Linked DNA regions of Stegostoma tigrinum. The protein of the gene in region 2 interacts with the protein of the main gene of each other region in a pairwise test. Links are inferred from orthologs where the notes say so. Each region holds a gene or a part of one and is shown on either strand. Other genes may lie near its edges.

Region 1 (3,926 bases), on a different chromosome or scaffold from region 2:
CACCTGGAGAAAATGCATGCAGGCACGGGTAGAATGCGCATACTCCATACAGACAGTTGCCAAAGGGAGGCATCCAACCCGGGTACCTGGCAGTGTGAGGCATTAGTGGTGACCACTCAGCCACTGTGCTGCCCAGATTCCTGTGTTATCCTCATTACTTGCCTTCCAATATAGTTTTGCTCCATCCGCAAACCTGCCAGGAGTACATTCATTTCTATCAAACAAATCATTAATATGCATTGTAAATAGTTGTGGCCCAAGCACTGATCTCTGTAGGACTCACTAGTTAGGTCGCCAACCTGAAAATAGCTCATTTATCCCAACACTCTATCTTTTGTTAGTTAGCTTTGCTCTACCCATAATCAGCCATCTCATTTAGCTGGTCAGCTGGTTTGTGATGCAGAGCAATGCCAACAGTGTGGATTCAATTCCCTCAGGTCACTTGGAATAACTCTCCTTCTCAATTTTCCCCTTACTAGAGTTATGATTACTCTAGGTTAAACTACCACCAATCATTACTCTCTCTGAGAAAGCAGCCCTATGATATAGTATTTATCCATCTTATACCCACAACAGTAATGGGCTCCTGTCTTACTAAGTAGCTTTATGTGCAGCACCTTATCAAATGCTTTTTGGAAATCAAAATATATTACATCAACTGGTTCACCTGTATCTACCTTGCTTGTTACCTTCTCAAAGAACTACAGTAAATTTATCAGATATAATTTCATCTTCATAAAACCATGCTGACTCTGCTCTATTATGTTTCTAAATGCTCAACCATTACTTCTTTTACATTAACCACTAATATTTTCCCAAGGACAGATGTTCAGCCAACCAGCCTATTGTTACCCATTTTGTCTCCTTTTTGAACATGGGTATTACACTAGCATTTTTCCAATTGCCTTGGGATTTATCCAGAATCTATGGATTCTTTTATGCCTTACAGTTACCTTCCTTAAAATTCCAAGATGCAACCCATCAGGTCCAGGGAACTGGTCTGCCTTTAGCCCCATTTGTTCCCCAATACATTTCATGGGCAAATGATGCCCAATGAGGAAACTGACTAGTTCTCCTAGTTTTGCTTGTGTGTGTGATTTCAAATACCAAACGTCAATACAGATGAGTCACTCTGAGAGGTGGGCGGGCGACGAAAGCTTTATCGGTAAGGAGCGAGTTTTGTGGAAGGCCTTCCCTGAGAATGTGAAGGATAGTGTTTCTGACCTGATCCATTTGGTCCGATGATGCAGTTAAACCGCATGAAGGGCCCGATCAATTGTCGGCCCCGCCACGACTTGAAATTTTCAACTTCAATTAATTGTAAAGTTCCCATTCCTAAAGTCTAATGTTTAAGAGGTAGTTGTGTCGGCCTCTATAGTGATGGCCTCTCCGTTCCCGTCGAAAGACGCCAAAAATTGTCCTTAACACAACTTCTTCAACCGCCGCAGAATACACAACACCTATGACACCAGATTGCCGCCAAACAGAGATCTCGCGATACTCTCCAGAAATCCCGTAACCGTTGCCCGATCGCCTAGCAACTGTTCTGTTTATCTCTTTTGTGGGGCCGGAAAATACTTAACGGAAGGAACTTTGCTTGACTCGTACTGTTGAAGACAATAATTTGTCACTGGTTTATTTGCTCTTCAAGGTCTTTTTTAATTTCATATATACTTAGCTTTCAGGTTATGAGAAGAACAAAACTGGAAAATGCAGAAACTGGGTGGCCCGTTTGATTTGAAAGAGGCTGAGATTATAGCGAGACGAAGAAACTTGGAATTGCAGAGGCAGAACAGGATTTTTAATGCCAGACTCAGAACAATTGGGGTAAATGCGCCATTTAGTATAATTTTACTGCGGATTTTAGTCCGGAGTTTATACTCATGTGTGATTAGAATTTTATAATATCAGGAAATAAGATGACGCATCAATAAACTTGGAAATAGTGGTATGCAGTTTAAACAAAACGTGTACTATTTATCTAGTCATTCGCGAAGTAGTATTGGAAATTAAAATAAAAGGTGCCTTCATTTCTCAAACTGCTTGGAACATTGTCCACATATTGAAGTACAACTATTCCTAACTTACTGACGTGTAAGAATAATGTCATCTATGCAACTACTAAACCTGACTTACTTTTGTACGCAAGCATTTGGAAGGTAGAGAAGGCGTTTGATGGAATATAAAATCAATCAACTTTTCATCAGGTTTTAAAAGTAAAGAATTATAAAGAAATATTTGCATAAAGATTAATAATTCATATTAAAAGAAACCACATAGCAAAACCTTTCTCTTTTGCCTCTGATTTGGCTTTTTTTAAGCATTTATTACTGGTAAATACTATTTATTTTATTGGATCATGAGCATTGTTCTTAAGACCATATTTATTTGACATCCCTAACTGCCTTGAGAAAGTGAGCAGCTGTAGCCCATATTCACCAATAGTGCTGTAAGAGAAAAAATTCCAGGAGCTAATATCAAAAATGGAAATTGGTTTATACATAATGAAGTATTACTTTTACAATGAACATTATTCCTGTTTTCATAGTGAGCATGATCCACAGAAATAGAGAAGTAGACTGAAAGAACTTAAGTATTTTTAAAATGTATACTGATCAGTTTTGTTTTAGTAGATTGATCAACAGGCATTGGATGGCCAAATCAAAGATAAGAAAATTCAGGAAGAGACAGAGGCTAGAAAACATTTAGCCTATGGTAAGTTATTTTGAATTCTGATAAATGGGAACATAATTTAAGGTAATGCATAAACTTGCATATTAGGACACAAAAAATGCTGTCAACTGTCTGTTCAAATACTTGCAAGTGTTTGATGATGGGAGAGACATTAAATGAATATTTTGCATCACATTTTACTGTGGAGAAAGAAATGGAGGCTACAGAATGCAGGGAAATAATATTGCTGTTTTGAAAACAGTTCAAATTACAGAAAAGGATGTGCTAGAGGCATCAGAAAATGTAAAGGTGGAGAAATCTCTGGAATTTAGTGTATCTCAGGATATTGCGGGAGGTTAGAGAGGAAATTGCAGGGCCCCTTGCAGTAATATTTGTATCATTAATAACTACAGGTGGGGTGCTGGATGACTGGACAGTGGCTAATGTCGTGCCTTTGTGTTCTTTTTATTCATTCATGGAAATGAAGGTGTCACTGGCCAGACAGCATTTATTGCCCATCTGTATTTGCACAGAGGGCAGTTAAGCGTCAACCATATTGCTGTGGGTCTGGAGTCACACGTAGGCCAGACCAGGTAAGGATGGCCGTTTCCTTCCCTAATAGACACTAGTGAACCAGTTGGGTTTTTCCTGACAGTCAGCAATGGCTTTATAATATTCATTGCAGTCCTAATTCCAGATATTTATTGATTTCAAATTCCACCATCTGCCATGGTGGGATTCGAATCTGGTCTCCAGAACATTATTTCGGTCTCTGGATTAACTGTACAGCCATAATACCACTAGGCCATCACCTCCCCCTGTATAATGTAAGTCTGGGGTAGAGCTTTCAGTCTGACTTCAGAGGTGGGTAAGTTGTTGGAGGTGATTCTGAAGAATAGGATTTGTATGTATTTGGTGAGGCAAGGAATGATTAGGGATGGTCAGCATTGTTTTTTTTGAGGGAAATCATGCCTCACAAAATTGGATGAGTTTTTTGAGGAAGTAACCAAAGAATTGATCAAGCAGAATGGTAGACTTAGACTTTGCTTAGACTTTAGTAAAGTCTTTGACAAAGTTCCAAATGGTGGACTAATCAGTAAAGTTAGATCATATGGAATTCAGGGTGAGCTTGCCAATTGGATACAAAATTGGCTTAATGGTAGGAGACTGAGAGTGATGGTGGAGAGTTGTTTCTCAGACTGGAGGCCTGTTACCAGCAGTTCCACAGGAATCGGTGCTGGGTCTGCTTTGTT
Region 2 (3,926 bases):
CACAGAAAGGCAACCAACATAATGAAAGACCTATCACGACCTGGTAATGACCTCTTACAACCTCTTTCGTCAAGCAGAAGGTACAGAAGCCTGAACAAATGCACAAGCAGGTTCAGGAACTGCTTCTTTCCGGCCATTATCAGACTGTTGAATGGACTCTTGCCACAAATAATGTAATCTGCAACATAACCGGTATGCCTCAAAGTCTTTTAGATCTGTACATCCTTTGTTTGCTGTGATCTATTTGCACTGCTCATAAACAAAGCTTTTCACTGTATCTCGGTAAACATGACAAGAAAAATCAACATTCCTCCAGTGTTGCTGGGTAAAAATTCTAGAACTCAATCCCTAACATCATTGTGGTTGTACCTACCCGAAATAGACTACAGCGAATCAAGAAGGCAGCTCACTACATGGGTAATAAATGCGGGCCTAACCTGCAACACCAACATCTCATGAAAGAATGAAAAAAAAAGTGGTCCACCTCATGTAGGTACACCATAGCACTTTCAAAGAAATACTAAGCATTTTGACCCATTAATGAATGGAAATTGTGATCCAAGTCAGCACTGCGTGAACTCAGAGAAAAACTTCTAAGCGGTGTTGTTCCCATGTATCTAATGCTCAATGGAAAAGGTTGCCAATTTAGAAAATGGTGTTACAGGAGCCTAGATTAATTTTGGTAGAGCTTCTTGTACGTAGTACACACTGCTGCCACCATGAGCCAGTGTAGAGGGAGCAAATGATTAAAGTGATGGCTGAGGTGCTGATTGGGCAAGCTGCTATATCCCGAATGTTGTTAATCTTTGATCTTCCCTGGATCTGCACTCATCCAGGTAAGTGAAGACTATTCTGACGTACTCCTGACTTGTGTATTGTAGATGGTGGTTATGTTTTGGAGAGTAAGGAGTCATTCATCACAACATTTCCAGCATCTGACCTGCTCTTGCAGCCACTGTACTTATATGTTAAGGCTTCTGCTTCGTGATTACCTCTGTGCTGATGATGGTGACAAATTTAACTATGAGAATGTCATTAAAATCTTCAAGGAAGATTGTCTCACTTGCCGGAGGTAAATCATTTGCGACTTCTGTGGCAAAAATTACCATTCTGTTTACCATTTTATCAGCCCAAGCCTAAAAACTTCTATGTTTGTGGTGTATATGGACACGGAGTGCTTCAGCACCTGTCTCAGTGGTGCTGAACATCAGTCAGCGAACAATTGACTTTCAAACTGATGTTGGAGTACGATAGCCAATCGACGTGTGGGCTTGAATGAAAAACTGAAAGAAACACTCTATATCTGCATAGGGAGTCACTTGGCCTGGGGCAAGTCCAAGGTCAAATAGATCATTTAACAGCAATAAGAGGCCTCCGCTGAAACTTTCTTAAATTTGTGATGAATTGAAATTTGTGACCTTTTCAGCTCAAGATTTGAATGGAAAGTTATTGATAACACAGGTGAGAAGTTGGTCGACCTAGGACACAACTTTGAGAAACTGCTGCAGCAATATCCTGGGACTGAGGTGATTTCTAACAACCACAATCTGTGTTGGTATATCTTAAACTAGTGGATTTTCGTCAAATTCAGTTTAGCTGAAGCACCTTGATGCTATTCTGAGTCAAATGATACCTTGATAAGGGTACTCACTTCTCCTAACAGCCAGTTTCAACTTTAGAGACAAGGCAGATCTTGAATGTCTCCTACTTATCATTGGGAGTGAGGCATTTAAGAAAGTTTGTAGTGGAGAAAATAAGCCTGAAATTAACTTTACATTCAAGAATGATCATTAAAGAGTAAGCAGTTTGGCAGTATTGCCTGACCCAACAACGTGCTCCTGGTAGGTCCTGTAATGAATGGCTGCATCAGTTATCGGCAACAAAGAGTCATGTTTACATCCCTTGAAGTTAAGGCAGCAAACTTGAAGACCATGATGGGGTTCGGGGAGGAAGCTCCAGAAACAAGGCTTAAGTCTGTCATCACCAAAAACAAAGCCTACTGAATACTAATTGAATATATATATATATATTTTTTTAAGAAAACAACTTTGGTTACCTTCTCTTCCTAACTTGGAAAACAAATGTGGTGTCTCTGCACCCACAACGAAAACTGGATAAATTATTCTTTCCAGGGAGCTACACATATAGCAGGACGACAGAAAGCAGCACGGTGATATCTTGGGGGTCTTCATAAACTCACAATTATTCTTTCGATTTTATAAGATACACAGTAAACTGCCTGTGGTGCTCCCCGGTCAGAATGACGGAAATTAAATTTATACAGACAGTTACATATAGGCAATTTACATACACATCAGGAACAGTCTCAGTAATAAGGCATTGTGACAGGTGATCGACAAACTCAAAATGCGATACCTGGCACATTTTATTTTTAAACTTAATTTAGATTGTACCTCACTCGTTGCCGGGAGACTGGCGGTTGCCGAACCAGGCCCCCCGCTCCTGGGAGGGATAAACTTGAACTTTTTAGCTGCGTTGCCACTGAGCTGACTCGGAGCTGAAGACCTCCGCATTTCAGTCGCCTGTTACTCCGGCCTTCAGGAGAGAAGTATCTAGCCGTATGGACATGATCTAACCCCGCAGTTACAGGTAGGGCCGATCTCCCGGTGGATGATAATAAAATATCACCTCTCGATCACTTCATGTTTCCCGCTTCCGAGGGTGCAGCCGTGCAACGCAATGCGCATGTGCTGCGCTCGCGCTTCGCCCGCGCGAAATTTGCTTTTACATTAAAATACTTTCTCAAATCCACCAAGGCATTGCATACTAATGCTCCGAAATATCATGCTTTGCACTGTTTACCATTACCTCTGCTCCCTGGGATCTGCCTTTGCAATTCTAAGCATGTCGGGAAAGGAGATGGTGTGTTTCATTCCCAGTCACTTGCACCAAGATAACAAATAACTGCTGCTGCTGGAGATCGACCAACTTAGTTCACCAACCCTGGAACACAATAACGACTGAGTGTTGTGAACAGGCACATACCACCCAGAATTTCATGTGTAAATTTGGGGCAGTCATTCCAAATTCTCACTGGGGACACGCTGTGGTTTAAGGACTGGCCACTGTGCCATAGAATAATAAGAAATACAAGTAGCAATACTCCGTTTTGGCCATCGTGTACGCTCCACAATTCAGTACAAATATGGCTGATCTCATCATGGCCAAAACTCCACTTTCCCTTGTCAGCACCCTCATCCATAATATTTGATTCCCTTGTGGATCAAGCTCTAATTGGAACATGTTCAAAGATGCAGTTTCCACTACTCTCTATCAAAGGGACTCCAAATATTAATGATCGTCTGAGAGAAGAAATTTTTACGTGTTTCCATCTTCCATCTTGGGTGGTACAATAGCTCAGTGGTTAGCACTGTTGCCTCGCAATGCCAGGAACATGGGTTCAATCCCAACTTTGGGCGACTGTGTGGAGTTTGCGCATTCTCCCCGTGACTGCTTGGGTTTCCACTGGGTGCATCGGTTGCCTCTGACAATCCAAAGATGTGCAGCCTAGGTGGATTGGCTATGGTAAATGCAGGGTTCTGGAGTAGAGTAGTGGGGTGGATGAACTTCAGATGGTTGGTGCAGGTTTGATCAGCTGAAAGGTCTCAATCTGTACTGTAGCAATTCTATGATTCTATTCTATGAGGTAACAAGCAGGTTGGATAAAGGGGAACCAGTGGATGTAATATATTTGGATTTTCAAAAGGTATTTGATAAAGTACTACATGTTAGGCTACTTTGTAAGAACCAAATGTGTTGGGGGTAGTATCACAGAATTGTTACAGATCTGGCCAATCATGCCTCTACCAGCTCTTCAATTGAGCATCATTACCTAAATGCTAATTTCCTGCATTTTCCTCATAACCTTGCACACTATTTCTCTTCAAATAATCCAATGTCTCCTT

What was found.
Region 1: the proteins of rad54b (region 2) and RIB43A-like with coiled-coils protein 2 interact in a two-hybrid assay, tested with the Homo sapiens proteins (2 studies listed by BioGRID and IntAct). The two-hybrid records come from large-scale screens. The link is inferred for Stegostoma tigrinum from reciprocal best matches to the Homo sapiens genes RAD54B and RIBC2.

What each region holds. Positions count from the first base shown.
Region 1 is NC_081371.1:20,081,568-20,085,493, reverse strand, and holds the start of RIB43A-like with coiled-coils protein 2, read left to right. Parts: upstream 1-1,527; 5' UTR 1,528-1,710; coding exon 1,711-1,827; intron 1,828-2,633; coding exon 2,634-2,715; intron 2,716-3,926. Other genes in the region: structural maintenance of chromosomes protein 1B-like, read right to left, coding at 678-692, 1,225-1,333. UniProt on the Homo sapiens protein: Microtubule inner protein (MIP) part of the dynein-decorated doublet microtubules (DMTs) in cilia axoneme, which is required for motile cilia beating.
Region 2 is NC_081358.1:91,296,313-91,300,238, forward strand, and holds the start of rad54b (DNA repair and recombination protein RAD54B), read right to left. Parts: upstream 2,844-3,926; 5' UTR 2,535-2,843; coding exon 2,415-2,534; intron 1-2,414. UniProt on the Homo sapiens protein: Involved in DNA repair and mitotic recombination. May play an active role in recombination processes in concert with other members of the RAD52 epistasis group.